Linked DNA regions of Saccharomyces cerevisiae S288C. The protein of the gene in region 1 interacts with the protein of each later gene in a biochemical or structural test. Each region holds a gene or a part of one and is shown on either strand. Other genes may lie near its edges. The genes, in order: YJR142W and FRK1.

Evidence for each region.
Region 2: of the proteins of YJR142W (region 1) and FRK1, one has a biochemical effect on the other in vitro, tested with the Saccharomyces cerevisiae proteins (one large-scale study listed by BioGRID).

The regions. Positions count from the first base shown.
Region 1 is NC_001142.9:695,441-698,838, forward strand, and holds YJR142W (uncharacterized protein), read left to right. Parts: upstream 1-1,700; coding exon 1,701-2,729; downstream 2,730-3,398. Other genes in the region: HIR3 (Hir3p), read right to left, coding at 1-256; IPA1 (putative polyadenylation protein), read left to right, coding at 466-1,509; PMT4 (dolichyl-phosphate-mannose-protein mannosyltransferase), read right to left, coding at 2,886-3,398.
Region 2 is NC_001148.4:282,663-288,023, reverse strand, and holds FRK1 (protein kinase FRK1), read left to right. Parts: upstream 1-1,962; coding exon 1,963-4,560; downstream 4,561-5,361. Other genes in the region: putative mitogen-activated protein kinase kinase MKK2, read left to right, coding at 1-510; 60S ribosomal protein eL33 RPL33A, read right to left, coding at 5,054-5,358. UniProt on the Saccharomyces cerevisiae protein: Putative serine/threonine-protein kinase that may be involved in rRNA transcription and ribosome biogenesis.

The DNA.
Region 1 (3,398 bases):
TATAACATAGATATCGCAGGTTATCTAGCGTAGGAGAAGAATTGCGATACATGCCCCACCTATCAGGCTTGACGACATCAATCTGGAAGAGCTCTTGGAATTTGCTGTCCGACTTTTCGAAGTCCTTGTTTTTTAGATCAATCAGAGCGTCCTGCAAAATATTAAAACTCTGTTCTATTTGAAGCTCTCTTGAATGCTCCTCTGCTTCATATTGTTCACCTTCGATGTTTGAATTGAGGGCATTGAACATAGACATAATAAGCTTTATCTAGAATCTGTGTTGAGGTTCTAACTCCTTAAAGTGCCTTTACGGACCTGCCTTGCTACCGTCTATTTGTATTTCTGCTCTTCCCAACGTAAACAATTCAATAAATAATTTCGCGATGGCACATAGTAACAAGCTGTTAAATCGAAGTAAAGAAAAGGAAAGTCAAGAAAACAAAGAGAGAAACAAATGCAAGGGTGATGGTTCAATATGTGGTAGAATGGTTACCAAGGATACAGAGCATTTCAGTGGTAGTAGAAGGTTGGAAGCAGGTGGAGATAAAGAACTTGAAGGACACACTCATGAGCATATCTGGTGATGAAGAACAAGTTGAAGATATTTTACTTCCAGTAGAAGTTGAAGAAAAAGTAGACGCTTCTTACAAGTTCAAAAACAGAGGTAAAGACTTAGAATGGATGACGAAGTTAAGAAGCAAATCCTCTAAGATATATGACAGTTCTATCATGTCGCTTCCAGATGGAAGATGGACTAAAGAAGAGCTTCGCTCAGATTCTGATTTCTCGATAGAATGTCTTAACTGTAAGCAAAAAATTATAAGCAAAGATAACTGTCAAGTTTTGAATGATATGCCTTCAGAGTTTTGGTTCGAGTTAATGGATTATTGGCATTGCCACAAACCCGATGTTAAGGAAGACAAGTCTTCCTACACAAGATTTGAAACGCTAAAACCATCTAAAAACGAAATTTTAATTGGAAGCTCTTATTTTCAAGGCACTCCTGCGACTTTTGAAAATGTAGCGACTACAAAGGAAAATGATAATGTTTTATGCATAAAGTGCTCAGCAGTGTTAGGCCAAGTAACTGCTGGTTCGCTTTATAAACTACACAAATGGAAACTGCAGTTAATACGCAGTGGAAACACATACAAATTTCCTCCAGAATGTGACATTACAATTTCTTTAATAAACGTAGTTAAGGCAAACTCTTGTCGTTACGTACTAGTAAAATGTAAAACGGAATCATTGCTAGTTTGGATATTTTCCGTTGACATTGGAGTCACATTGACGGGAAACAAAAGCTTCAAGAGAGCGATGAAGTTGCTTTACACAAACAGCGTTACCACAATAAATCGATGTCTCAATCGACAAGTCGTCGAGGAATTAGATTTCCAAGAAACATCGTTTAATGCTTTTTACAGCGCCCTTCAACATACTAATGCACTTTTACCCTCAAGCATGAAAAAAATTGGTGAATGGACCATTAGCTATACATCACTAATCTAATTTTAAGAACCATTCTCTTTCAAATTTGTACAAATATTGTCATCAAGTAATAAATAGCTTCTTTTTTTTTTTAACATACAGTTGTAGAATTAACTTCGTTGGCCGAAGAATTGCACAACAATAGCGTTTGTTATATTACTAAATATAGGGGCTTTCTTGGGAACGAAAGTGAAACAAACGCTTTTAATACAATGAAGGTCGAGAAATCATCTAAAGGCTTGGAAGTTTTAGTGAGGACACAGGAGGATGATCTAGAGGGGTTCTCTTTCCTGGAGATTATGGACCGCGTAGACCCTTTACCATTAGACTTCGAGAATTACAAAAATTTCAAAGAGGGCATTTACTATATGTGTACACACGATGGCACAAAGATCGGTTTCGTGTTGAAATTTGCGATAAATGAAATGGAGACTGTTTGCTCGGAAATCTTCGAAGAAACCTTCCAATTAGATGAATCTAGACATGAGTTAAGGTTTAAAAGTGAAGATTTTGATCATAGAAACAATCTAATTGACCAATTGGCTCGTAAAATGTATTTAGAATCATCCTTGAGTGGTGTGAAGGGCTGGAGAAACGAGAAATATGCCGTTTGGGTTAATAAAAAACCCTATGTACTGGTTGAGCGTGCAGTAGCAGGTGTTCTTGGTATAATTACCTACGGGATTCATATTAATGGTTATGTGCTAGATCCAAAGTCAAAAAAAGTTCAGTTTTGGGTTCCAAGAAGATCTAAAACGAAACAAACATGGCCGCTAATGCTTGACAACATTATCGCCGGGGGATTAGGTTATCCTTATGGTATCTATGAAACAGTTTTGAAAGAAAGCATGGAGGAAGCCAATCTAGAAAAGAGTGTTATTGAGGATAACATTAAAGCAACTGGTTCAGTTTCCTACCTTTACTTTACGGGTGATATTTCTGTAACGAAGTTCAATAAGGAATCAGATTTTATCGTAGGGGAAGTACAATATGTATACGATCTAAAACTCAGCGAAGACATCATTCCAAAACCAAACGATGGTGAAGTCGAGAGTTTCAATTTATTCAGCCTGCAAGAGACGATTAATGCTTTAAGAAAAAAAGAGTTCAAACCAAATTGTGCATTGGTAATGGTAGATTTCTTGATTAGACATGGCTACATCACTCCAGAAAATGAGCCCAATTATCTTGAACTAGTAACTAGAATGCACAGAAGGTTACCATTCCCCACCTTGAATTAACATTCAAGAGGTTACCGGTTGATATCTAAACAAATATAAAGAATTTTTTTCATATATACACATCTAGGTACATACTATCTAAGATCAAAAGTACTCTATTTTGTCACTAAACGGAGGAAGGCGTTCAGTTCGTTTGTGGTTAGTGAACAGAAAAAGTTACTTGGAGAAATTTAATTCTATGTCAAACCACTCTCTAGAAACAACTTCCGATGGTGACAAGCTGACATCTCCATACACTAGTGGTGAAAAGTATACAAAAAACCACGCAACAGCACAGGAGACACACACCAAGAAGACGGTATAGGGTTTAACGTAGACCTTAGGGTTCCGTTCATATGATGCACCTGAAATATCCTCGTCTTTCTCCAAATCCAATGATTTGCAATCACTGAAAATTACTTCCCATAGTGCTCCTGAGAATAAGCACGCGATTAAATGAGCTGGTAAGTAATGATGCAAAAACTTTTGACGCGCCATTAAAAAGAATGGAAAATAATGACAGCACCAGGAGACGAAGAAAAACATCAATGGGCCATACAGCTTTTCTCTGGTCATCTTGTTTAGGGCATAATAGCCACGATGTCTAGTAATTAAATCGGCCACGATAATGCCAACAAAAACAGCCAATGATATGACTTGGAACCACCACCCAATGATGTTACCAATGAA
Region 2 (5,361 bases), on another chromosome or scaffold:
GTCATCCACAGGGACATTAAACCCCAAAACATTCTTCTTAATGAAAAAGGGGAAATCAAATTATGCGATTTCGGTGTCAGTGGGGAGGCTGTTAACTCTTTAGCGATGACATTTACTGGAACGTCATTTTATATGGCCCCAGAACGAATACAAGGCCAACCATACAGCGTAACCTGTGATGTATGGTCCTTAGGATTAACTCTTCTGGAGGTTGCTGGAGGGAGATTTCCATTTGAATCTGACAAAATAACGCAAAACGTGGCTCCTATAGAATTATTGACGATGATCCTGACGTTTTCTCCCCAGTTGAAAGATGAGCCAGAACTAGACATATCCTGGAGCAAGACATTTAGATCTTTTATCGACTATTGTTTAAAAAAAGATGCCAGAGAGAGGCCTTCTCCCAGGCAAATGTTAAAGCATCCCTGGATTGTAGGGCAAATGAAAAAAAAAGTCAACATGGAACGGTTTGTAAAGAAATGCTGGGAAAAGGAAAAGGATGGGATATAAACTTCCAACATTTTCCTCTCGTAACCAGAACTGACTTTTTCTACAACAGGAATTCTTTAACGAGACTTCTCCTCCTTCACCATTCATAAGTTTAACGATGTTCTTTTATTATCTAGACACTCCGAAATATTCTTAACATATACGTATATAGTTTACTGAAAACCGAACTAGCCATGGGCTATGAAAGTTCTCCTATTTCCTTACTTACATCAAATAGAAATGCGCATCCAAGTCTTTCTGGCAGGCACGCTATGATGTGCTAAATTATGACTCAAGTGAGTACTAGGCGCTTTTGTACTCAGCCGCGCGGGGAAAATTTCTTCCCTCCCTACCAAAGAGGAAAAAATCATATGGCGTCATATTATCCTATATACAACGGTCGAACAAAAATCTGCTCGACTCAGAAAAATAAAAGGGTTTTAACATACTTATTGCTTACTTAAGTTACCACTTCAGTAACTGGAGCTATAAATACAATAAGCGTTTTGTACGTAGAAAATATCCTCTATATTGCCTGATTTTCTTTAGTTCCGACAAGGGCTCCGACCACGGGACAACCCTTATGATTTCTGTTATAAGGCCTATTTGTTCTAGTTACGACGACACTTACTGCTGTCTCTTGACCGTTTTTGCTATACTCATCCTCTTACCATTAAAAAAATAAAGAAAATGGACTCGAGTAAAGATGAAACCATATCTCTTTAATCACAACATACTCACTCTATGGGAGATTCTATTCTCCTTAGGTTAGTAAATGGCATTATAAATTAGCAAGCGTAGCCTCTTCAGCCTATACATCAGCTGAACCTGCACAATTAATGTCATGTGGCCGACGTAATGCATATCCATCTTTTTTACTCCCTTAAAAGAAGGTTTAGCCCCTACTGTATACTCAATGAACAGATAATGTCTATCCATAAAGTATATCATTTCAGGAACCCTAAATAATAGTGCTATCGTTACATATACTTTTAAATTTCATATTGCATTAAAATGCCGCACACCTTTTATGTAAACAAAGCCGCACTTCCTAAAAAAGCAATTGAAAACAATCGAAAGAATGAGTGTAGAACAGCAAAAAAGGTAAACAAGAGAAAAATTCTGAAACCCAGATCAACACCTGTTTCAACCCCTTCATCGATTTAAATATAATTCAAGTTCAGGTCATCGAGTAAATCTATAATAAATCAGATCACAAAATCTGGTACACTGCTGTTGCTGATCACGGTTCTTTTCATCTTTAACACATTTTCGCAGTTTTTTGACTGTGCCACATTTTGCATTAATTTGTTTCTTGTGACGTGTTTGCGAGAATTTTTTGATTGCTAATTAAACCTAACAATAATCGCTATTTTTTTTACCCATCCACAATACAAGAAAGGCGAGCCAAGCGGCGTTCAATATTCAATTGGCCATTACTTCTATATACTGATTTAGAGTGCCAAAAATTTAATGTCGTACACCAATAAACGTCATACATACTACGGAGGGTTTACCAACGATTTGTCTGACACATTTCAGTACCCTCAAAGAACAGATGAGCAAAGGCGGAAACATGTAACGTTTGGTCCTTATATCCTAGGGTCGACGTTAGGAGAAGGAGAGTTCGGAAAAGTGAAGCTAGGCTGGCCAAAGAATTTTTCAAACAGCTCTAATTCAACTTTTGACTTCCCAAAACAAGTAGCAATTAAACTTATCAAACGTGATAGCATATCGAATGATTACAGGAAAGAAGTTAAAATATACAGAGAAATCAACGCCTTAAAACACTTATCACATCCGAATATCGTAAAATTAGAAGAAGTGTTGCAAAATTCTAGGTACATTGGTATTGTCCTAGAGTACGCATGCGGGGGAGAATTCTATAAATATATTCAAAAAAAAAGGAGGCTTAAGGAAATGAATGCATGCAGGTTATTTTCTCAGCTAATAAGTGGAGTACATTACATACATTCTAAGGGACTTGTTCACAGAGATCTCAAATTGGAAAATCTATTACTAGACAAGAATGAGAACCTAGTTATTACAGATTTTGGGTTTGTCAATGAGTTTTGCTCACGAAACGAATTAATGAAGACGTCATGTGGCTCTCCATGCTACGCAGCGCCTGAACTAGTGATAAGCGCCGAACCATACGAAGCTAGAAAAGCAGATATATGGTCATGTGGAGTTATACTTTACGCTATACTAGCTGGATATTTACCGTGGGATGATGATCCAAATAATCCTGAAGGCAGCGATATAGGAAGACTTTATAATTATATTAACTCCACACCATTAAAGTTCCCTGATTATATTCTTCCTATACCTCGGGACTTATTAAGACGCATGCTGGTCTCAGACCCAAAGAAAAGAATAAACCTGAAACAGATCAAGAAACATGAATGGCTAAAGCCTCATTCTTCATTCTTATCCATAACACCTGATGAGTGGGACAAACTAAACAATACTCAATCCGTGTTCAGATTAGCAAAACCAAGAAGAAGATATGGATCTAGACCACAATCCAGTTGTTCTACCTCATCTCTTGGCTCAAGGAGTGATAAAAGGGATTCACTGGTCATTGATTCAACTTTAATTACTTTCCCGGCTCCGCCTCAAGAATCACAAAATCATATTATAACCAGACCGGCTTCTATTGCATCTGACCAGCGGCTGTCACCTATAAGAAGATCTAATAGGCACAATAGAAGTAACTCTGCTGCATCCGTTGCCTTGCAGGCAGTGGTGAACGCAGATAGGGAATATGTGTTAAGTCATGAACAATCATTATCCCCAGTACAAAACATTAGACAAACTACGGGAAACATGACTGCCAGTCTTTCACCTCCACCAGCCATAAGTCCAGGCGATATTATAATCGAAACCACACCTATTAAAAGAAATACAATTTCTGGGAGTAGTATTGTACCAAGTTTAGAAGAAGAGTCGTCTACCACAATGCAAACAAGCAAGATTCAACCAAATAACATGGCTTCATCACAAAATCATCAATACAATAAAAATAAGACCCAAAATAGTCTCCAATCTGCTAAAAATTTCTACCGTACGTCTTCCTCATCCCATACAAAGCCACGGCCAACTTCATACCATCCTGGCTCATACACAACACCTCCCTACAATTCAAATACGCTCTCCATATATGAGATCAACGAAAAAGCTAAAAGTAGCGCTTCATCACAAACGCTGAATCAAAGAGACACATCCCCATTTGATTCCACACCATACCTTGCCCTAGATACATGCATAACCTCATCCTCTTCCATCGAAAGCTCTCCAAAGTTAATTACGCACGGCCAATTTTCAGTAGCAAAACCCTCTGTTGATTTGCAAAGCGTATCTGGTGACTTGATCAAGTATAAGAGGGACGCTGATGTAGTAACGAGAATCTATGATGAAAAATACAAACAGAAGCGCAAAAGTTTGAGATATAGCGGCATATTCAGTGACATCTCATGCGATACGGTCACCGAAGAGTCTGATGAATTGAGGCCACCAGAATCTCCTCTTCAACAACATGAAGGACAAGAATCAATTGATAAGGCGAAAACGGAGGACACAAGTGAAAAGGGTAGTAAAAGTAGCAACATCGCGAAAGCTACAGCACAAAAACACGTCAATAACCATCTAGAAAGATCACTTAACGAAGCAGAGTCAACAAAGAAAAGATTTAGCTTTCTTTCCTTGTACTCTTATGATACTTCCAAATCTAGTTTATACTCATCAATGGATTCCAAACGGAAACCTTCTCCACCTTCCCAAAGACGCCCAAAAAAGGATGACAGTTATCAAACAAATTCAAAGAATCATTATATCACTGCTTCAAATATGCAAACATCCCATCAAGTCTCAAAAGACCTGCCTGCACCAACGATGGTGCAAAATAAATGTACTTTAGAAACTAAAAAAGCGGTCCGAAGCAACAGGTCCTCCATAATGGTATCTGAGGTCAACAAGGCAAGCGTAGACAATAAAGCAGCCCAAAGTCCAGAACATTCAACCGCAAAAAGAGTATTAGGGTTTTTCAAAAGAAGAAGTATGAAAATCTAGAGATAATACCTATCTCATTTGACAATAATATCCACTTATCATATGAAAAAATCAGTACTATCTGCAATTTTTCCATTTAAAATGTCTGTCGCTAAAATTTTGCGATTTGCCAGACCAACAAAATAATGTTATAATATACTTTATGAAATTTCAATCTAATAAACATTGAGCATATATATGCATATACCTACCATATATATTTTGCATTACTAAAAACATCAAAAATTTTTCTAAATTGTTACTTATTATCAATCATAGCTTCACTCCGCTTGAATCACGTCTTCTAAGCGGGAACATTGTTTCACTGCGCTTACAGCGAGATTCGCAGACATTTTAAGTAAGAAGACAATTTCTTTTGCCTTTTGTACGGAATTAATTTTAAAAATTATACTATATATATATTAGTCTTTTCTATTCTCAAAATATAATAATATTAATAGTAATAAAAGAGAAAATAACGATGTTTAATAGAGTACTTATACAATCAACAAATTTAGATGTTGGATGGGTACAAGAAGATTCTAACAGAAGCACCGAAGGTCTTGGCTGGCAAATTGTTTCTGAAGGTGGCTCTAACGACACCAGAGTTACCGTGAGTTCTGGTAACCTTACCCCACATAACTCTAATCTTAGAACCCCTGACTTCCTTGGAGGCTCTGTAGACGTAGGCAATACGCTTACCCAAGTAAAATTGAGCATCTTGTGGAGTAGCGACACCTTCGATCTTGATCAAAGAGACATTTGGGTTGTTGACTCTCTTGGATCTTTGGTAGGATAAGTGCTTACCTTTGACGTACACTA